Linked DNA regions of Drosophila melanogaster. The protein of the gene in region 2 interacts with the protein of the main gene of each other region in a pairwise test. Each region holds a gene or a part of one and is shown on either strand. Other genes may lie near its edges.

What was found.
Region 1: the proteins of CG1418 (region 2) and ens interact in a two-hybrid assay, tested with the Drosophila melanogaster proteins (one large-scale study listed by BioGRID).
Region 3: the proteins of CG1418 (region 2) and Lsd-2 interact in a two-hybrid assay, tested with the Drosophila melanogaster proteins (one large-scale study listed by BioGRID).
Region 4: the proteins of CG1418 (region 2) and AdipoR interact in a two-hybrid assay, tested with the Drosophila melanogaster proteins (one large-scale study listed by BioGRID).

Annotation. Positions count from the first base shown.
Region 1 is NT_037436.4:4,131,188-4,136,517, reverse strand, and holds the start of ens (ensconsin), read left to right. Parts: upstream 1-1,967; 5' UTR 1,968-2,015; coding exon 2,016-2,064; intron 2,065-2,695; coding exon 2,696-2,749; intron 2,750-2,861; coding exon 2,862-2,969; intron 2,970-4,305; coding exon 4,306-4,562; intron 4,563-4,628; coding exon 4,629-4,768; intron 4,769-5,281; coding exon 5,282-5,330. Other genes in the region: RfC4 (replication factor C subunit 4), read left to right, coding at 535-699, 752-1,582.
Region 2 is NT_033778.4:9,963,328-9,966,944, forward strand, and holds CG1418 (uncharacterized protein), read right to left. Parts: upstream 1,741-3,617; 5' UTR 1,390-1,740; coding exon 1,307-1,389; intron 1,255-1,306; coding exon 1,048-1,254; intron 995-1,047; coding exon 703-994; 3' UTR 508-702; downstream 1-507. Other genes in the region: Pal1 (Peptidyl-alpha-hydroxyglycine-alpha-amidating lyase 1), read left to right, coding at 1-40.
Region 3 is NC_004354.4:15,070,807-15,078,084, forward strand, and holds Lsd-2 (lipid storage droplet-2), read right to left. Parts: upstream 5,415-7,278; 5' UTR 5,135-5,414; coding exon 4,942-5,134; intron 3,569-4,941; coding exon 3,131-3,568; intron 2,586-3,130; coding exon 2,535-2,585; intron 2,162-2,534; coding exon of another isoform or gene 1,980-2,161; intron 1,843-1,979; coding exon 1,466-1,842; 3' UTR 657-1,465; downstream 1-656. UniProt on the Drosophila melanogaster protein: Essential for embryogenesis. Required for normal deposition of neutral lipids in the oocyte.
Region 4 is NT_033777.3:22,542,863-22,549,607, forward strand, and holds AdipoR (adiponectin receptor), read right to left. Parts: upstream 4,985-6,745; 5' UTR 4,797-4,984; intron 4,704-4,796; exon of another isoform or gene 4,522-4,703; intron 4,337-4,521; exon of another isoform or gene 4,262-4,336; 5' UTR 4,216-4,261; coding exon 3,850-4,215; intron 3,412-3,849; exon of another isoform or gene 3,225-3,411; intron 3,170-3,224; exon of another isoform or gene 3,134-3,169; coding exon of another isoform or gene 3,014-3,133; intron 2,922-3,013; coding exon 2,823-2,921; intron 2,609-2,822; coding exon 2,256-2,608; intron 2,198-2,255; coding exon 1,896-2,197; intron 1,833-1,895; coding exon 1,753-1,832; intron 1,696-1,752; coding exon 1,561-1,695; 3' UTR 831-1,560; downstream 1-830. UniProt on the Drosophila melanogaster protein: Adiponectin receptor. In insulin-producing cells, regulates insulin secretion and controls glucose and lipid metabolism.

The DNA.
Region 1 (5,330 bases), on a different chromosome or scaffold from region 2:
TTACAATCCGAGTACTTTTCAAAAACTTATGATATACTTTGCAATTGGTCACTGATCGTATGATATAATTCGAACTATATTCAAATGCAAGTTCAAATTTTTGGCACCTGATGCATCTAAATGTATTGTAATTTCTTCAATACCCAATAAAGCTTAACGAAAAAAAAAAACTATTTGGTCTTAAATTAAATTTAACTTTTTTAGTTTTTTTTAACCTGATTTGAAATCCTCATCTATCTAACGTTTACATTGTAAACAAGAATTTTTAACTAATGTTTGCTTAAAACATATTCTTTTTATATATTGTTGAGCGTGTGTTCTTTTCCTCATTTACAGAATATTTTATGATCTGAACGTTTTTTTTTTATATTTGAATTTCAAATAATTACCTTTATGGACCTATCGGTGTTGCTAAGAAATCGATAAATGTAAAAAATACCAGGCCTAACCGTTGTGTTTTGGCGCCCAAGAAACGGCCACACTACAGCCCCACGCTTCAATTTGTTTGTGCGAATTTGTGAAATTGCACATAAAATGCCGGAAGAACCAGAGAAAACGGCGGACGACAAGCGCAGTCACTTGCCGTGGATTGAGAAGTACCGCCCCGTGAAGTTCAAGGAGATAGTGGGCAATGAGGATACCGTAGCAAGACTATCCGTATTCGCCACCCAGGGAAATGCACCCAATATTATTATTGCTGTGAGTTTGTGAGGAGTAAAATTAGTTTGGCGCCACTAATTGTGATCTATAGGGTCCTCCTGGCGTGGGCAAGACAACCACCATCCAGTGTCTGGCCAGGATTCTCCTGGGAGACAGCTACAAGGAGGCTGTCCTCGAGCTGAATGCCTCCAATGAACGAGGAATCGATGTGGTCCGCAACAAGATCAAGATGTTTGCTCAGCAGAAGGTGACACTGCCGCGGGGCAGGCACAAGATTGTGATTCTGGACGAGGCGGACAGCATGACGGAGGGTGCCCAGCAGGCACTGCGCCGGACCATGGAGATCTACAGCAGCACCACTCGTTTTGCCCTGGCCTGCAACACCAGCGAGAAGATCATAGAGCCTATCCAGTCCCGCTGCGCCATGCTACGATTCACCAAGCTGTCCGATGCGCAAGTTCTGGCCAAGCTCATCGAGGTGGCCAAGTGGGAGAAGCTTAACTACACGGAGGACGGACTTGAGGCCATCGTATTCACTGCCCAAGGTGATATGCGACAGGGACTGAACAACCTGCAGTCCACCGCTCAGGGATTTGGCGACATCACCGCTGAGAACGTCTTTAAGGTCTGCGACGAGCCGCACCCAAAGCTCCTAGAGGAGATGATCCACCATTGCGCTGCTAACGACATACACAAGGCCTACAAAATCCTGGCCAAGCTGTGGAAGCTGGGATACTCGCCGGAGGACATCATTGCGAACATATTCCGTGTCTGCAAGCGCATCAACATCGATGAGCATTTGAAGCTGGACTTTATCCGTGAGATCGGAATCACCCACATGAAGATTATCGATGGTATCAACTCGCTGCTGCAGCTCACCGCCCTTCTGGCCAAACTCTGCATTGCCGCCGAGAAGCATTAGATTTAATATGAACTATAGGTTAAAGAAATCTCAGAGATAAATAAAATTGGAGATAAATAAGTCCTTTTCAGTATTGAATACAAGTGTACCTAAATTTTAAACTGGGCACCGTTAGTTAACAGATTAATGTTAATTTCTATGTCAGCGCACTTAGAGCATATCGTCCCTAATGGAGTGTTAATTATTGCGCCCTTGGTATCGGAAGCTGAAATTATCATACAACATTAGATAATGTATTTATAGGACCGAATGATCATTAGTTTTTATACATAAAACCGGAGTTAGTTTTTATACATAAAAACCAATACGTTAGTTAACATTTCTAGTATTTTCGTAGAGCACACCACTATACAACAGTACGGTCGCATTAAGTAGATTATCGCAGCACTACAGAGCTGGCCACACTGTTTGCAGCGCTAAAGTAAAGTGAAATATGGCGAGTCTTGGGGGCCAACACGGAAATATTTCGACTAATCCAGAAGGTACGCATTGAAAACAACCCGCTGAGAGTGCGAAATCGAAGGACGAATGCCCCCGCGTCGAAAATCGGCCAGGATCTACGCGTTTTCGGGGCGTTTTCAGTGGCCAAAAAGTGCTGGTCGACTGCGCAGCAAAACGGCACTCACACCACGGCCAAAAAGCAAAAACGGAGTGAAGAGAGAAAAACGAAGAAAAAAAACAGCGAGGCGAGAGGCACAGAAAAGAAAAGAAGAGAAAAGCCGAGAAGCCAAAAGTGTCTGCCCCCTAGAAATGGGGGATATATGTATTTCGAGTTCCCCGATTCCGAACCGGAGTTTTGAGTTTATAAATAAGTTCCAGTCGGAAAAGTCGTTGGAACAAGAGAGAGGGAAACATACATTATTTTCTCGTACTTCTCACTGTCTCTCTCGCTTCGTCATCGCAGCTGCTGCCGTGCGCTTGTGTTCGTGCGTGTGTGTGTGTGTTTTTGTGTCCCCCTCCTTCCTCGCTCTTTCGCCTTCTTGTCACCTTTCCTTTTTGCCAAAACGCAACGGCAATTGATTTTCCCCACACACGAAAGCCAAAAGTCCGTGTAAAACTCCGGAAAATCGCAGCGAAACTCAATCGTCCATTTTTCTCGTACTTCTTTTGCAGTGGAAAACACAGCCAAGCGACCCGAAAGTCGCGAGGGCAGCGCCGAGCGAAAAGGTAAGCCTTCTATGCGGATTATCTTGCGAGTTACATAAAATCGGCACCAATGTATATCACACATACGCACTATATGTAATCGCTTTAACATCACCTATAACTCGAACCACAGCCCACGCATTCGCACCTGCCAAGATCTCGGGCTGCAGCGCCGGCGCAACCTTGCATTGGTTCGCCCAGGTGGGCGGTCAAATCTCCGCCAGTGAAGACGACTCTCAAGGTAGTTGGCATTCCATTCAGGCTGCTCCAAAGTCTTCCACAGCCACGCCCCGTTCTGTTCCGCCTCCAAAACGAATGCTCCGAATGTTTGCCGCATGATCTCACTAACAAATAAGACCCATAGTCCGCCTTATCGCGATTTTAACCGTCACTGGTCTATTGCAAGTCTTTCATAGCTGTTTTTCTAATAAGAAAATCTTCTTATCTATTCTCACCCAGTGACACGCTTTAAATCACTGTAGTTTCTAAACTGTCTAGATGTTACCCACTAAAGTGGGTTATTAAAAACTCAAAGCATCTTCAATTAACACCTAAAAGATCAAAATGTTATCTACACTTAAGGTCTAGCTTGATTTTAGATGGCAAGTCCAACTCTAATTATACAAATTTTAAAAATATGTATAGTCATATTTGACTAAATCATTGTGAGAATGCAAAACAAGGAATGATTAAGTTATTGGGAATTTGATCTTAATAACAATGTTCTCAAAGTTTGTTAAGTTAAATTGAACTACATGTTATTACGAGAGCAAAAAGGAAATGGATTTTATCAAGCGAAAAATCAATTGCAATGTTTTTGGCTTTCCAAAAACACAAGTAAATATGGCATACAGTGGGTTAAAATCCAGCAATTTTGCCTGCGACCTTGACAGCTGATAATTTCCCATTTGCAAGATATTTTCGCACCTGTAACTGGCAAAAAGATTGACTTGCAGTTGTTCCTTTGTCGTCTTGCTTACGTCATGGAATTCCAAAAATATCTTAACCGATAAGGCGATAAGAACCAGTTCCCAGTTCGATTATGCAGACTTTGGCAGCCAAACCGCATGCTACCAATATTATTGTTATTATTGTTAATTTTTTTTTTGCATTTTTCCGCCTCAATGTCATTTCAATAGAACAAAATGTGCGCCTGCATTAGCAATTTGCTTTCTATTTTCCTTTTATCATTTGTTTTTTTTGTTGTTCGCCCATTTTGCACATAGGCAAATTTGAAGCGGGGGCGGCGGTATTGTTGTCCGAGTATTTGTGCCATATTTGTTATTGTTGCTGCTGCTAGTTTGTCAATTGACCCACAAAATGCGAGTGTACATTGTCGATGACGTCAGCTCTCGGCTCTCATGTAAATAACTCGCCGGCAAAAGTCGAAAAATGGGGTATAATACTACACATATTAAGCAGATATTTATCGATTTTTGTTGGGCCACAGGTAGCAACTGATGAAAATATTCCCAGTTTTATTTGCTTGCGAACCGTAACTTGTTTATCCAAATTCAATTTATGCCCTTATAAGTATGTGCGAATTCGAATCTCTATTCATTTTGCTACGCTTTTAGCGTCCAAAGACCGTGAGGAGAAACTAAAATATGCCCGCGATCGCCAAAATGAGGAGCGCCACCGGAAAATCGAGGAACTGCGTGCCCAGGCGGAGGCCGCCCAGCGGTACCGTGAACAAAAGGAGGAGGAGCGCCGTCGACGCATCGAGGAGATCCGTACCCGGGACACAGAGAAGCGCCACCAGGTGGAGGAGCGCAAGAAGGCCATTTTCGAGGCCGAGAAGGAGCGCCGCGAGTACATCCTCAAAAAGAATCAGGTGCGTGCGTTATCGCTTCGATTCCAATGAACTTCTATTATAATTCTTGTTTTTGATCATCCACAGGAACGCGAGTCCCGGATAGAAGTGAAAAAACGGGACAGAAACTCCATCGGCTTCGCATTTGGCTCCTCGACTCCCCGCCTGCTGGATGTGCCCGCGGATTATGGTCTGGTATCGCCCAGTGCCTTTTGGGGTCAGCGGAGGTGAGATCCGAATGAAAGTTATCTGAGCACAAAGCCAAAAACTCACACAAAACGCGCACACTAATATGTAGCCATTCATGGCTATCTAGATTAGTATATATTTTGGCCGATTTCATATGTGCTTTGCGCTGCACATGACTAATTAGCGCTGCACTCTGACTGGCATTACTTAATTATTTTTATCAGTTCTTGAACTTTTAATGACGAAATTGTTTGCCAAAATATATAAATCACAATTAGTATAATTATTGACTTAGTAAATGTCGCGAAATGAAAGCAAATAATTGGCTAACATGAAACTAAAGATAGTGAGCTAGTAGCCAATCAATTGTTGAAAAAACCCATTTCACAATGATTAAGCAGGTTTTCATTGTAAACTTTGATATTCTTAATGGCAAATAGCTAATTGTTTTATCGTTATGAAGTAGCAAGGCCATTTTGAGGCAATTCGAAGTTTATATTTTTGCGCTTAGATATTTGAATTTGAGTACTAAACATGACTTCCCCTTGCAGGTCCACATCTATATCGAACGTAGCGGGCGCCTCGCTCACACGTCGAAGT
Region 2 (3,617 bases):
GCAGGAGACGAAGACACTGGCGAGTGCCCAGTACGCCTAGGCGAAGGACCAAGACTTACGCAGCTAACAAAGCATTCCTAGTTCTAACTACCTGTACCTCATTGAAATACCGACTTAGTTTTACGCGAGCTATGTATATGTGTGTACTTTAGGTAACTTTATTTACCTTCCTTGTGGTGCATATCGCAGAGAATTCCGATCGTGGTGTATTTCTAGTTGATTTATTGAGCCGTTTGTTCAATGTATTTTAAACAGCTTATTTATGGAAACTTCTTTTGGAGAACCGACTATGCGATTTTTTTCCGGTTACTTATATTTATTCTTTATTTAAAAGAATACATTTTTAAAACGCATGCCTCTAAAGAGCTCGAAAATATCTGAAATATTGTAAGTGCCACAGAGTCCAATGACTTGACCACATCCTTTAAATTAATTTTTTTTTTCGAATTAAATCGAAGTTCTCAGCGAATGCGCCTCATATATTGCGATTAATTTGCCAAAAAGAATATAGTCGTATGAATCTGTCATAGTGTGTATTTCGATTATTTAAAGTCTGCGGCTTAACTAGATTTCGTTATAAATAGGTGTACAACATATTGTGTCGACTTGCAAGGCCCCATAGTGGCGAATATGTTTAGCCCCTTTCCTCGTCCCTGGTTGCCACGATCCCAGAAGACCTAGGGTTTAGCTTCTGGCTGGCGGTCAGACAACCTGGGCGAGGAAACCCTCATTCTCCTCCGTTACAATAGCATCGATGTTGTAGAATATAGCATGCATAGCAATCACGAAGCATGAAGCACCCAGCGTCCAAAACAAAACCGCACCCGCGCCCACCAGGAATAGCACTGGTGCCGTCGCCAGATTGAGTGCGATGATCTGCTGGCTGGGCGTCAGTTGTTGTCCCACGATGGTAATGTTACTGTTGCGCACGCGCAGCTTATGGCAGCCAAAAGCGGAAGCCAGGATGACCAGCAGAATGCAGGGAGCCGTGATGCTTAAGATTATAACTATTAAATGGGGTGCAATAAGGTTTTTAGAATCACTTACAGGCAGTATATCATCAGTACAAAAAAGATGAAAACGTAGTTGGCCTGAAAATAGGAGAGATTCCGAATAACCCGGCTATTTAGCCGCTGCATGCTGATGGCCGTTTTGAAATTGTTGATGTTGAAGAAGACTACCCAGGGCCGCAGGGAGTTTCGGACCATTTGGAAGATCTGCAGCGGTGATGGCAGGTTGGATAGCGAGGGCAGGCTGCAGGGTTCAAGAGTAATTAGCTATTCGCTCCTTGTTACGGTTTACTCACCTTTGCATGTCCACGGAGAACCTGCCTCCGGAAGGCGGTGGCGGCTGCATGTTACCGGATAGGTTCCCGCCAGTGTGTGCCATTTTGCTTGTGCTTTCCCAACCTCGTCCTAACACTTATCTTAGATACACGTCTTCGCTGCAATCTACAATTCTTCTTTCGACAAGTGTGGGCGTTCCACAAGTGTTATGTGTATCTTTGGATTCGTTCCACTTGGTCCAAGAACTGTCTTGAGGATGCTGCGGCGTTTGTAAAGCGGCGAGGACTTTAGCGGGGTCACTTCTACATGGAGGCGGCAACACTTTCGATGTTGATTTTACGATTCACTCTTAATTTGCTATGACATCGTTTTCTTTTGAGAAACAGTATACAAAGTTTGAAAAATCTGATGTGGCAGATAGTTCTAGGATTGCCGTTGCCGTGACGTGCGGTGTGGCCAGAGTTGCGAGTGCGCAAATTCTCGAAATCAACTGAAAACAAATCCAAAGCGCTGAATGCAATCAAACATTTAATACAAAACTTTTTCTCTAAACATTTGAATTATTTTTTAATGATATTTTTACACAAAACAATTATATTTTTCTACCTATTACTCGTGTAGTAGATGGTTATACTAGATTCGTTTAAAAATGTATATATTTTTGATATCCTTGTCTATTAACTTGAACTATTAAAGCTAGAAAGTTAAGATTAGAAATTCAGTTTCTTTCTGATGATGCAACGCCACAATTTAAAAAAATGAATCGATTTTTTTTCATTTTATTACTTGTCTTGCCAATTTCTAGAGCTATGCCAAAAACCTTTTACCACGCCCATTTTAACACTGAAATCTGCTACGTCTTCACTTTTATGTGTAGACATTTTTTAATTTTACTATTTGTTATCAGTATGGCAAAAGATATGTTGGATGCGCCCAAACCAAACCAAACCCACACTTTTAAAAAGTTACTTGCCTATTTTTCATCTTATTATTTTTTTTTCCAATTTGTATAGATAAGCCAAAATGAATGTTGAACTTTTCCACCAGCTGAGTAATTGGTATCTGATAGTCGAGGAACTGGACTATATAGTTCTCTCTGCTTAAAAATGTTTTCATCACAGAATTACTTATTATTTCTTTTAACAAGGCCAAACAAAGCAAACATATTAAGCAATTCTTTTAATTTCCTTTTATATAAGTAGGCGTAACGAAAGAAATTTTAAGAGTCTGCGTTGCTTTACAAGTAACAGGTAAGAATCGCGCTGATATTTTAAATATTTTTTGAACAATTTATTTGACGGATAACACAACATCCATTAAATTTTTCTCAGGTCTTCTGGCTAATACATACATATCTTATATTTCTTGTATCTTGTATACACACTCAGGTTAAATGTTACATTTCTATTTACATTTACCAACAAAGAGTTTTAGAAGTTAAGAGAGTTTTCATTTGCATTACCATTATGAATATAGACTATATAATAAAAGTTCTAACTTAGATATATTTACAGATATGGATTTTTGACGTCATAACATATTGCTGGTGTGACACAAGTGATAAGTATTTTTTCACAGTTCCGGTATGAATCAGATTTTTGATTTTAACTTAAAAAAATTGTGTCTTGAAATATTCAGAATGGATTTATATTTGTTTACGGAGATGGAAATTGATTATCATCTTTTTGTTCAACGGTATTTTGGGATTGTGGAGAAAGTAAAAAATAAATCTCGTTCTAGTCACGCGGTATCAGGGTGATGGTGTCCTTCATTTCCAAAAAACCTGTGAATGTATTCGAGTGTTGCGACTGTTAGATACCTGTTACTCAGTTTATGAACCTGCAACATATGGATATGTAGAATTTGAATAATTTGGCGTGTAGCAAGGATATAGCTCTGATCAATCTATTACTACAGTTTTGATATGTTTAAAAGTAGTAGGATTTGAACGTTTCCTGGTATCCAGAAGACTTTTAGGATGTGAGCGTTTTAGGAGTTTAGGGCGTAACAGGGGCGTGGCACGGTTTTAAAGAAAACTTACATGCTTCCTTACTCTTAATGTTTCCGACATCTCGACATTCATACGGACGGACAGGCAGGCCATTATAATTAACCCAAGGAAAGTTGTGGATTGGACATCGTGCCATGAATCATTTTAGCAATCGAGATAAGCTTGAACTTTTAAGACCAACTGGCTTTTGAATTCAGTATTCGGTTAGGCTTTGACATTTCAAGATGGTCTCGATCCATTTTTATTTGGCACTTTTGCTTCAAGCGATTTCCTTGGCGAATTCTTTCCAATTTGGTAAATAGTGGCAACTACAATACAAT
Region 3 (7,278 bases), on a different chromosome or scaffold from region 2:
AATCCGCAAAGGAAGTGGAGTGGCGAAGCCAAACGAAATGAAAAGGAAACTCCGAGAAGCCGACGTCGACGTTTTGCCCAATCTACAAGACGGATAATTGCACGGCCATTAACGCCGTCATTATCGACAGGGACAGAGTCACAAGTCCACTGGGCGACAGTGCGGCTCAAGAAAGTGGGAACTTAAAACTGGAACTGGGCCAAATGGGCAAGCAGAAGTAGTTCCCATACGTCATTGTAACTAACAACTAAAGAAAAATGTAGGTATTATCTAGCCAGCTAATATTTGTAACTGAAGTGTGCGCTGAAACATTTAGTTGATATACATTTATGAAGCACATGGTTTTAGCAGCGATTTCCGATTTCGAGCAAAACGCACTTTAATATCACATGTTCGGAAACATTGTGTACATACATACATACATATAGCCTTATCTGGGCAGCAAGTGCTCCATAAATTCATTCGCTGCAGCGACTGAACTCTACACTGAACTCGAAATAAATCAGCGGACCGTACAGTGCTGTCCCGATAAGGCGCCTAATCAGATAGGGGGCAGAAGGAGCTACAGCGCTCCTCCTTCTCCCCCCACCCCCTTCCGCTCATCATCGAGTGGCAGAGGCAAAAATAATTAAAAGAAATTCGTTGGCAATTCTCTTGTTCTTCGTTCCAGTTTTGCGTTGGTTCTTTTTATTAATATTTAATATTATCAATCTAGTTGTTTAGAGCAAACATTATGGCTAGGTTCTCCATACAAGTGTGTGAGGGGAGAGGGGGGGGGTGTTGTGTTATATATATATATATATATGTATGGATATATATTAGGCATAATTCATTTTCATTAGCAATTAAACATCATCTGGTTGGGCTCCCAGCGAGCGTACAATGGAATTTAAATAGATATAGAAATAGCATTAGGTATTATATTACGTATACGTACAGCTAAACCGCACTATGCCAACCGTGTGCGTGTGTTTCTCTCTATATGTATATATATCATATATCTGCGTATATGTTAGGCATATATAGGTGTGTGTGTATATATTTATAATGTATTATTCAATGCATGCGTGGCACTTTAGCACAGCTAAAATTGACGAAAAAAAAACGCTCTCTTCTGACTCCCGGATCTCTGCGACTACTATATCTTATAACTAGGATTGGTGAGGGCTATACTTCAAATAAATATTTACAAAGCAGGTGGCGCAGGAGGAGGCGGACTTCTTGGGCGTGCGTTCGAATAACCTTCTCCACTTTAAATGATCCTCTATGGAAGTACTACTCGTATCGGCTAGTACACTCAATGAAATAGTACGCAATAAAAAAAAAAAAAGAATTTATAAAATACATTATAAAATGGGCGGCGTGGGTGGTAGGTAGAGGGGTATCTTAGGTGGTGAGCGTGCGTGAAAGAGGATAATATCTAGCTATAGATAGATATAATTGTAGATGAGCTGCTGTTTCTCCACTACTGAGACGACACCGCCGGCGCCCGTTTGCTTTTGGCCACATGTGGCAAGGCAACAACGGGCTTGTTGTTGCTGGTGGAGCTGGTGGTAGTGGTGGTAGTGGTGCTAGTGGTGGTTCCAAATGGCGAACAGGCGTCACTGCTGCTGCCACCAGACTGCTCCACATTCGTGCCCATCGACGAGTTAATAAAATTGATGTACTGATGCAACTTGAGGGCGGCTATCAGGGAGCTCAGATAGTCGTTGATGTTGCCCTTCTGGACCTGCTTGATCTGTCGGGAGACATTTCGATAGACGCGACGCGAGATCTTATTGGATAGCCGTCCAACTGTCTGTACTGTGTGTAGGACTGGATCCTCGCTGGCGGGAACTGGCACTACAAGTAAATTGAGCAAAGGCAATCACCATTAACGAGGGAAGCAAGCAATTGTAATTTGAGTATTTGTTACGGGTTATAAACAAGTCATTGATTGATTAGTAACTTTGGCGCTGTGTGGGCTTGTGTGTGCTTACCATAAACTTGTTGAGTTCCCTATCGATAATGCCTACGATCTCTGGATTTCTTCTAACGTACTCAACAATTTCGGTTATGATTTTCAGGGACATGGACAGAAATACCGTCGAGGCGGCCACTAAGAATCTATCATCAATCTCTTGATCGTGATCCCGGTCGTAGCTCTCCCCAACAATAATAACTAACAAATGGCACAGAGAAAGAGAGATAGAGAGAGAGAGAGATATTAATTTAGAAAATAAGTGTCACTTTTTGGTGGGGGTTGGGTGGTTAATTAATGTTAGGGGCGGGGAAAGGACCAGGATCAGGATCTGGGTTTCGGAAATCCCAAGGCTAGCCAACATTTATCGCTCGACTCGAAATCGTAAATATTTCTGTATATTATATTCCCATTTTGTTCTCGTTTTGTGTGTGAAATTATCGCCATGCTTGATTAGTGTTCATGCTTTTTTATTTACTTGCTATTTTTATGCTTATTAGACGGTGTGTTAGTGGTAGACAAAGAAACAAACGATCGAACGAACAAAAGATCGGATCGGGGATCGGGAACTTACTGTCATTTTCAGAACTCTTGCCATTCTGCACGACGGCATTTTGTTTATCATCTGAGAATTAAAAATATTTACGATTTATATTTAGAATTTTGTTTACACACCGCGCAAAAAAAAGTGAGGGCAGCAGAAGGCAAACAAGCTAATTTTAAATTTTTGTGCCAACAGATGAAAAATGGTACGGAGCCAATAAATAATGTTCTCCACCATCATCCAGAGTTCTTAAATAAAACTGAATTCTAAACTTATTCGCTCTGAAGACAGTATTTTTAATTTTTAGAAAGAAGTGTCAAAGAGAATATATATAAAAATTATAATGGAAGTACGACAGGACAAGACTATTAATTCAAGTGAAGTCAAAATGATCTTATGAATTTGATATTAAATAAATTAAAAAAGTAGTTTTAAACGTAATGAAATGTACAACAAGATTTCAATTAAGTTGCATCAACTAACTTATATTATATTAAATTTTACGTCATGGCAATTGAGAGATTCCAAGTGAAACCACTGTTCTACGGCTCCAATGAACAAATATATAAACAAAAGTACCCTAACATTGTGACCTACTTTTTTGTAACTCTACCGTCAACACTCACCATTATCTTCCTCGACATCCGACTCGCACTTGGGGAAGTAGTATTCAAGGAGGCGCTCGGCCAGCGCCGTGGTGGTGTCCACTCCGTTGACAGCCAGACTGCCGTACTGGGTGGCCAGCACCTCGTTGGCCTTCTGCCAGGCGAGATCCTTCAGCGAGGCGGCCTTCTGCTGACCAGCTGCCTTGAACTTGACGACGCGCTCCAGATGGGGCTGCACCACATCGATCACCTTGCTCTTGGCCTGGTTGTAGATCTCCTGGGGTGTGTCCTTGATGATCGGCGCCTTTACCTCAAGCTTATCGATGCCCTTGACCAGGGTCTGGTCCACATAGGCGATGGGTCGGTCCAGTTTGGTGACGAAGGGAGCCGCCGTTGTCACCGCGCGCGTCACACAATCCTCGGCCGCCGTTAAAGCCCATTCGAAGACACGATTTTTGCCTGAAAATATGAGTAGTTCACATTACGATGAAAAATACGGATTGGAAATTATATGTCTTAGTATAAGTTTAATTTAAAAGTTAACAGCCTGTTTAATTTAGAGATCTAGAACTTCTAGAATTTCTAGAATTGTGTAGTAATACCCCACACATGTGACACAAGTACGAAGAGCGCGCTTATCAGTTGCAACCGTAATAATAATAACAATAACAATAATAATAGTAATAATAAATATGTAGCATTTCTGGCTGATAAGCAACTGCGCAGTTCACGAACCCCAGGGCCCCTTGGACCCCTACATTCTATCTGTCTGGGGCCCGCCAGTTTAGACTTTGATAGTTCGTCACTCGTCAAACACATCATCCATTCCAATTCCAGTCCCAGCAACTGCAGCAACAACAACTGCGAAATATCACAAACAAGTCGAAAGTCCAACTAGAATTTTTGTTGTCGTTGCTGCTGACGGTGAGACCCCAAGAGCCCCTTAGCATAAGTGCTGCCCGCTTTAGTTAGTTTCCAGCCAAATCTAGCTTTATTCGACAGCGGTAATTGGTATTGTCTAGTAAATGCATTAAGTATTTGTTTTTTCAGGGATCTGTGCTTTTACGATCGGCAAACTTAGGCTGGGATCAATATTGAGAAGAAAACTAGTAACATTATTTTAGCTATAATTAAAGTGCAAGTTTAGCTTAACTTTTGGTCAGATCGAGCAGCACTGCCAGTGCCAGTGGCGTTGCCATTGGGTCTGCTTTGCTTTTCCTCTTGTCAAAACGAGCCCCCTTTTGTTGACGGCGCCTCTGCGGCTGCAGCCTACGTGCGGTGGCCTTTTTGCCGTCAGCCACCGCTCTCTCTCTCCTCACTCTATCTCTCTTGCGCTCTCTATTGCGTTGGCCAAGATTGTTTTATTATTATGTAAATTTTAAGCGAACTTTGAACGCAACGCGTCACGAGGGCAAAGTGCCGGCCTTTTTGCTTTTCTTATTGCTAGGTCATGGTTGTTGTTGCTGTGATTTCGATTATTGAACGACCGGCAATCAATTTATATCAATTGAGCTTAATTTCTGGCCAATTAAACGAAAAAAAAGTTGAACAAAAAAAAGTTGTTTCTGCCCTCTATGTGCGTTTCGAGTTCGAATTGCAACTCGAAATAAAATGGCGAAGCAAAGTCAAAAAAGCAACGGTTTCGGTTTCGATTACGGCTTCGAGTGCATATGGTCGCTGCAATTGTTGTTGCTATTTACCTCCTCCTTCACCGGTCGTTTATTCTCTATATGTGCCGTTAGGCGCGCCAAAGTAACGGGACTTGAGCGAGTTCAATGCACCCGGAGGAGGTCTTATTTTCATTTTCTTCTGTTTTCCTTTGCTGCACTTACCTTTTACTTTGCCATAGACATCCTGGGACTTGTCCCATGCCGCATTTACCACGGGCAATTTGATGATCCTCTCGAGGGACTCAAGGTGCGGCAGAAGGTCCTTGGCATCCTTGGGCTGGTCCACATCGTTCATCGCCGTTCCATTGCCAGTTGTTCCGTTCCCGGTGGCGTGTTTCTGCTCTGCACTGGCCATGATCAGTTTTCTTTGGTTCCTCTTGCGCTGCTTTCTGCTGCCCTTTTCACTTTTTCTTTCTGTCTTTCGCTATCAAGCTCTTCCGCTTGCCACCGCACTTTTCTTTTCGCCTCTTGCTTCTTTTCTTTCACGAACAAAAAAACAGCTTAACCTGCGAGTGAGTGTGTGAATGTAGGGTATGCGTGTGTCTGCGTTCTGGAAGCACTCTGTTTTATTTTATTCCTAGCACTTTTTGGCACGTCTGCTCACGTCTGCTCGTTGGGACTCTCTGACTGATTTGCGAGCTGCGCGGCTGGTTTATTATATGAGCGAGTGCCGCCGCCAGTGTTGCCAGCGCCGAGCAACAAAAAGCTATGAGCAACAGTGATGCCGCAGGTGGCAAGAAGTGGATGAGGAAATTTTAGTCAAATAGCTAAAAAGTACAGTTTTTACCAATAGAGCTTACTTTTTGTTCAAACCGCAGTGTGTTTTTTCCAAGATTTATGCCTAGTCAAGGGTCATGTGGCTATAATACACTTTGTATTATTAAAATTTAACCATGAGCTTTGACAAGCACGATTACTACAAAATATAATTATAATATTAAAATCTTCGAACTTGTGTACTTAACCATACACAAATTTGTTTATCAAAAATGTTGAGTAATAAATAATAATAATGTAATAAAATATCGCAGACAGTGAAAAAACAGTGCTAAACAAATAAAAAGGTTAAAATAACCAAATAATATAAATGAGCTTAGGAACATTTCTTTGCAACATATATCTTGAAAATAGCTAGATCGTTTGCTGCTGTAAGATAGCTTCGCTGCGAAGAGAGCAGAGCGCCAAAGCAGTATCAGCGAGAGTTTGAGATTAGGACTCTCTTTGAGGACCCCATATACAGTTTGTCAAGAAACTGTTTACATACTGTGAAATAAGTTGAATTTTTGACTTTAAAGCTAAAATTAAAGGTTTTTTGCTTAATTAAACGCAATTTTTTTTATAAAATTTAATTAAACAATATTTATTTTACTTATAAATCAAAAAACAAATATTAAAATATTAAATATACAAGAAAATAAACAACATAATCCAAGTTTACACACCTTTGAGACTGTCAAGAAACTCTTTACACATTTTGTTTTCCTACTTTGTTTTGTTCTTTTTCTTAGAACGAACTCGATTTTTCCGTTATTTTTGGCTTTGCATTGCTTTTTACAACGCTTCTAATGAAATTTGTTTGACTTTGCTTGAAGCGAATTATTATTTTATATTTAATTAAATTATATTTAATTTATTTTTTGATTTATAAGTAAAATAAATACTGTTTAATTTTATTTTATACAAAAATTGCGTTTAATTAAGCAAAAAACACTTAATTTTTAGCTTTAAAGTCAAAAATTCAACTTATTTCACAGTGTGTAAACAGTTTCTTGACAAACTGTAATTATAATATGAATAAATGTACTATAGTTTTTGAACAGTACACTTAAATTGTTATGATGAATTATTATAGTACAAACGCTTTGTTTGAAATAAGTACAATTGTGTACTATATCTGTTTTAAATGAAACTTAAAATAGTTTTGAAACAATTTTCATTATCTTTATTTTCGAGGTAAAACATAATTAGAAAATCAGGTGAAAGAATGTACCATTATCAAATTATAAACAATTCTTCTATCATGATCAAACTAATTTTGATCATTTTTTCCCGATCTATGCAGAGTTCATAGTGCAATTCTTCTGTGTTGTCCTTGGAGGGGGGTCCAATTATTCTGTTCAGAAAACAAGAGAGCTGAAGAGAAAGAAAGAAATTTGGGAAAAGAAGAGAGACAGTGCCTACGTTTGTTCGGCATGCTTGACAACTAGATTAATTAATACGTTGTGTCGGGCGCAAACAAAGTTTAGATTGAAGTACATTGCAATATATATTTATGTACATATATGTGCATACGTACATATGTATTTCTGTGTATGGGGGCACTTCGATTATCAATGGCCAATGGGCAACGCCACGCAAAAGCTTCGTGCGACCTTTGAACCCCTGCCACCGCATCGATAATACGCCATTGCACAGTCAAACATCTACATTCAGTATTCTACGTAATACTTGCCGAATGCTGTGTAATTCGCTTGGCAATCCAAAGTCCGATTAGTGACA
Region 4 (6,745 bases), on a different chromosome or scaffold from region 2:
ATAACTTCCATGTGAGAAATAAAATAATAAGTTACAATATATATTTTAACAAATATTAAATATATGTAATGCTAATGGTAATGGTACGTCGTAATGCTTAACTTTTTGAATGGTTAGCATTTGCTTGATACCTATCCGAAAATGCGTAGTCTTCAAAATCATCAAATCCAAGCCGCACTGTAGCATTTAGCTTTGCACATGCTTACGCCTCATTAAGGCATTTTAAAAATATTTCTCTTTGGCTTTGGTTTTCTCCCACTTTGCCCAACTTCCGAACTGATTTTCGCCTTATTTCGACCAAGTCATTTGCTTTTTTTTCTGCTGAACTTGAATTTTTGTTTGTAAAATAAAACCCCTGCAATCGCATTTAGTTGAAAGACACGTGCCGACAAGTTGTCAAGTACAAAGTTCGATTTATTTGCGCCGTGCAAAATAAAAGGTTTAACGATCTGCGGATTTGTCGATAGAAACTGGCACACGGCGAAGACAATGACGACGCATAGAACACAAGGCAGCAGAGGAATCAGATCGCGATCCGAGATCTCGGCGACTAGACCACGGCTGCTCACTTCATCAAGGGGGTCAAAGTCAACTCGGCATTCGCCCAGTCATCAGCAGACTGAACTCCACTAATAACCCCGATGCGAATTTCTAGTTCTCTGCAGCGATATTTATGGCCAGGCATTAGGGTGATGGCAACCGCCGAATTGCTCAATGGCAATCAGCAAACCTTAAAATAGTTTTTGCGCCAAGAAATAAAATTATATATGGCTTAATATAGCAATCTTCACCAAAACGCTCTTTTAGAAGTCTCAGCTTTTTTTTTTATTGTTTTGATTCGCTTTATGTTTTGTGATAGATCTGCATTTATAATGTATATGGTGATATAATATCTTAGGCTCCATGCGCGATGCTCTGCCGTGTGGGTGCAGGGATGCGGAATTTGTGATGTGCTGTGTATATGTGTGAATATAAAATCAGACCTCATTTAACGATGAAACGTATGTTCATTACTCCATACAACCCTAACAACTCTAAGCGGTAAGGTAAATACTAATGCCACAAGGGGATCATCTAATTGCATAACTTAAAGTAATTGCTTGGCTGACATGGTAGCTCCTTTAGATCCTGTTTTAGCAATGGAACCCTTGAGCGGAAGTCATCTCGTTTTGCCAATTTCAGATGCAAGCAATTCTGCACTACTCGAAATGTAAATCAACTTACGACAACATTAAGTAGACAAATTGGAATTTTATAAATAATTGTACATATATTAATTTCTCTACTGCAGATTTCATTCGACAATCAACTGGTTTTGCAATTTTTTTTTTTCTATGCAAGATTTTGATGATAAATGCGTGTAATTGTGTGTTAAGTGTGTGTTTTTGTCTTCTATATGGTTCCGTTGATTTTGTATAACAAGGTACAAATGCTCCCCAAACGCTAAAAAGGTTGCATTGTAAAACTGCGCTAGTTCGCATTAATATATGTTTTACTCGTACTATGAATGGGATTGTATGTGCTTTTACGATGATTGTTTCTTGGCATCCACTTCAGCATCTAAAAGGTTATTGGTTCGATGGGAACAGTGCATTCGCTATACATGACGCGGTACATGGCCATTTCAGAGATGCCATGGTAGTGGACAAAAGCGGCCGCAATGACCAGTATGTGGAATATTTGATGTGATTGACCCTGCAAAATAAAAGACTGTTAGAACGGTGCAAAGGACAAAACCATCAAGAATCGTACCCAAATGTCAAACTTTCCAGGGAACCAGCGTTCGGGAACACGGAGGGCGTACAGCAGTGCGCCCAGAATGTAGAGGAGGCCTGCAAGATGTATTTTGCCATTGTTTTACCATTATTTTAATATGCATATCTACAAGCACTCACCCATCAGAATTAGCCATCCCAGACTGGCGCGGCTCATCTGGCTGAACCAGCCCTCCATGATGCTGTAGTGAATAGCTGGAATCACACCCGACAGGCCAAAGCTCATAAATACGCCAGCGCGCAAGGGACGAAGTGCCGGCTCCGAAAACTTGTCCCATAGCGAGACCACGATGGAGAGGATGCCCAGAATGCTAACAACGGATAGGTATATCACCTTTGGCTGGTAATGACAGTAGAAGCCATAGTACAGCCAAGGCACAAAGGAACCCATGATCAGCAGCGCAATTCCACAGTAGTCAAGTCTGTTGGTAAACAAAACAATTAACATAATATCCATTTAATTAGTCGAGGAATACTTACTTAGAAAACAGTCTTCCCATCTCTACAGAATGACAGCTCAGTGTGTGAAAAGCGAATGAGAATCCTAGGCACACAATCGCACCGATAAAGAAGGCGCCAAAAACGATCTTCTCCTGTGTCTGGATCTCAACCGAGGGACGCGAGATGAAGTATAATGCCACGCCGATGAAGGCGATGCAGCCAAGAAGATGTGTCCAGATGTTGCCCGTTTCCGTGTGCACGCGGAAAATTGATTTAAAGCACGCACGGAAAGAGGGGAGCGGTGGGCGATGGCCGCGGTGTAGGAAGTCGTTATCCTGCAGCCACTTGGGTAGATTTTTGTAGTGGCACACTTTCCAGCTAGCCTCCCAGACCTACGGATGAAATGGAAAAAAATAACATATCATTCTATAGATAAGACATTACGTTTGGTAACTATAAACAAACAACAACAACAAAAAATACAGTCCCAACACTTAATACTATTTATTGAAATAAAAACAAAAATACAAAAGCTACAATATTACAAATCTTGAAGAGTATCTTCCATTTAAGCCATTCTTCACTTGGCAGCATCACTTGGCTTACCTTGCGCACAAACTCCTCTGCCTGCTCGGCGGCATTGTGTGCCAATGCGCCCAAATCAATTTCATCGGAGAGAACTCCGGCCTTCAGCACTTCCGTCATCTGTGGAATAGAGTGATAAGACATTAAACAGCTCTCAAAACAAATATAAAAAGCTTAATAACAAAGAAAAACTAAGAGCAAATGGGACTAACGACTGCATTTTCAGCTTGCTCCTTGACTGTGTCAGGGTTTTGGGTTCTGTAAGTTTCTTGACTGAGATCCGGCTCCAGATCCGGGTTGACACGCACTATAACCTCCGGCTGGGTCTGCATCTTGAGCGGCTAACAGAGATTCGAACGGAACTAGAACTAAATGTGCGAGGCAATGAGCGATTGTACTGTGAAGCCTCTGCCAGTCGCATACTCAATTTGTTGGCGGAACAAGAAAGCACCGAATGCGTTCCGCGATAAGATAAGCTTGCCCGAAACTGACTCCGGGCATTATCAGCACCGCATCGACGTAAATTTGTGATTTTTTTCCAGCATCTGTCGTATAAAGGGCTATGCCAAAGCTTTTTGCGTTCAATCTAAGCCTGACCTTTAAAGCCGGTGATCAAACGGGCAGATTGTCTAGAGTATAAGGCTCAAAGTCAAGAAATTTTACTTGACACCTTTCGGACAGACATTAAAGGCAAGGAGAGATAAGAGGTATAACTTTCAAATGGCTATGGAATATGCTTTAAATTGAGCAATTGTATTTAGTGAGTCATAAAAATGGAGAAATGGCCACGATAAGGTTTAAGTACAATGGTTATGGTACATTTTGCATGTGGCAAATAGACATTGGCCAATGCAACATTTCGATTGATAAGACGCCCGACATTGAAATGACTGCCTGCGCAGAGGGAAAATTGCGACTAACAAGTGGCAGCCGATAACCACATGGTGGTAGGTCAGCGATAAGAGCTCCGCCACATGTTTTGACGATTGCATTTCGTACTTTTCCACCTGGTGGAAAATGGAAATAAAGGTTAATAGCCCCAACTCACCTCCGCCTCAATAAGCTGTGTGTCCTCCGGGGTCGAGGGGAGTGGACAACCGGCGTCATCCTCCTCGACCAACTCATCGTCGTACTCCAGAATGTCCAGATCATTGGGGCTAAGCGAGTCCTCCGGTCCCCAGCCACGTCGCTTGCGCAGGATCATCTGCACCTGCTCAAAGATATCCTCGTCTGAACCTTCTCTACGCAAGGTGGCCGTGGTGGTGGTCACCGCCTCGCCGGTAGCATGTCCTTCGGCGTCCATGCCGAAAGTGGCTCGAGCCTGGGTGGTTACCTCCACCTCGGCGGGATGGCTCCCGCCACTCACATCAGCCGCTGAGCCCTGTTGCTCGAGGAGATTAGTGGCCGAATCCATGGTCTTACGATCCCGCGGATTCGTTTTGCACTCCGCAAATAGTATTCTGTAAGAGAAATACGTTCTGTTCAATACGATACATACGAATTTAGTTGTTCGAAAGCAATGCTAAGCGTTTGTTAGCTCAACGCTAGCTCGTCTGGGAAATGCGATATTTGTTTATTTGTTTATTGGTCTGCTCCGATCGCATTGCTATATAGTATGGCGCGACCTTTGTTCCCCAGTAAATCGGTTGTACGTAGCACATAAGTCTGTATCTGGTAGCTTTGTGTGTTTTATCACTTAGGAAACTTAGCTGCCAATTACGTTTTTACATAAGATGGTGTTCAAATGCGAGTGGGATCCTCAGTGGGTTAAGGTGCAGTTGCTATTTCGGGGAAACCATTATATAGATAGCAAAGTGCATGGAAAATGCAGCCAGAAGGCCACGTGTGAGTGGAATACTACCAACTGGCTTAACCCCCACCTGCACTCCACTTGCGCAGTTCCCATTTTTTTTATACGAAGTTACAGAAAGTGTCACAACACAAACGAACGATTAATCACTCGATTTCACTGGCGTTTCGTTACTATTCACTTACCACTCGAAAGTCGCGCAGTTGGCGTGGCTTCGACGGCAGGCCCAGGAGTCAACACTGGCGCGAAAAACTATTTGCTGCACTTGCTTCAATTGCGTGCAATTGCAGTTTTTCATCTGTTTTCCCTTAATTTAATTTTTTCTGTGTTTTTTCCAGTGTGACTGCAAGCGCGATAGGGAAAATCACTAGCAATCATATGGGAACGGAGGAAATGCGGTCATACCTTGACGCAGCAGCTGTTAACGGCTGTTAACGCTACTTTGTAGTCACAGCTCTGTAAAACAATGTGGCAACTCTGCGCAGCGCCCGCCATATTTGAAAATGCTTGCCAGCAAATCGTATTGCTCCCGGTAAACAAGGTGCTTTCATTATTAGTCAACATTTTTGAGAGCTAACAACTTTTTATTGGCGATCAAAGGTGGTACTTCAACTGACCAAATATTGGATATTTGCGTAAATACCTAACAGGCATTTGTTTTTTTTTTCATGAGAAATTACCGTGACGAAATTACAAGACGTATATTATATGAATAGAAAATTTTCCTCTAGTCTGTAAACACTTCAGTAACAGAGAAATTGTTTTCAAAAAATGTTAAGGCATCTCATTAAAAAACATCAACAATGAACTCAACTTAAGCCTGGTAGTTATGAATTAGCATGTGTAGTTCCCCGATATTTAACCTACTTAAGTATGCACATATCTGCCATTCCTTGGACACTTTTGCAAAGACAACAAAGACAACATCACAGCTTACTTAAAATATATATATTTAAATTAATTAATTAAAGTAATACAAGAATGTCTAATTATAGCTTTTTTAGAAATAGCATTACGGTGTTATAAAAACCCACAAATGTAGGCAAATAACAATTCTAATAATAAAGAAACTTAATTGGGAAGACAAAATGGTGTTTGGCTAGTGAGGAAATATCACCAGCCTTGCAGGCCCAATAAAGATTCACTTGTTTGGCAAGCTCTTAATAGCGCAATTTAACTACGTTTTAATAGCGCCCTTAGAATATTTATTGCACATAAAGGCCAATATGTTTAGTCAAGAGTCATTCATCTTTGTTAAACAAATTCAATTTCAAACATAAGACTATAGAACTTGCTTTGCTCAGGGGCAGCCCATCAAGATGATATACCCTATTGACCAATCCAGGCCAATATCATCCATCAGCTCTCGGCGTTCTGACCAGCTACGTTAGAAACTCGGCCAAGGAGCAGATTTCGCACAGACCCCGACTAGCGGTATTAATCGACTGAATTAATACATTTAGTAGCGCTGAAGTTCAGGGTCATAATCACAAAAGAGAAGCGCCGATAATGCGAGCTGTTTCTGTTTGAATGACGAGCGCGCGACAAAAAATGCTAAACGGCCAATGTGCTTCAAATGGAAATGGAAATGCCAAAGACCCGGAAGGGTGGCGACCAACACAGCTGCAGTGCATCCAACTCGGCAAACATTTGCATATTTGACCGGGCACTTAGCACGTGGGTGGAGTACATGGATCACCATGGGTCACACAAATCACCTGGGAATCTGGGAGACTGGTGAGAGTAAGTGCGTGAAATTGACCCATTCATTGGACGGACAATCGCTTCCCATCGATCTGGAAATGTGTTAACTGCGCCCGTAAACCCTATTTGCGTAGTTAAATTAAGTGCCAGGTTATGGAGTTGGGGCGTGTCATCCCCCACATTGGCACATATATATATATATATATAAGCACTTATAACTATGCTGCCAATTGAGTTCGTCTCAATGACGTGACGGCGATAATAAATCAATTGTCTAGCGGTTTATTTAAAGCCAATTTTGTAGCTGGAAATTGGCACACAGAAAGAAAAGTGGTGTCAGGAACTTATATATAAAATGTTATTATTTTGGTTATTTTTAAAGGGTCTAATGGAACTATTTTTATTATAAAAATGTAGATAATTTTTTAAG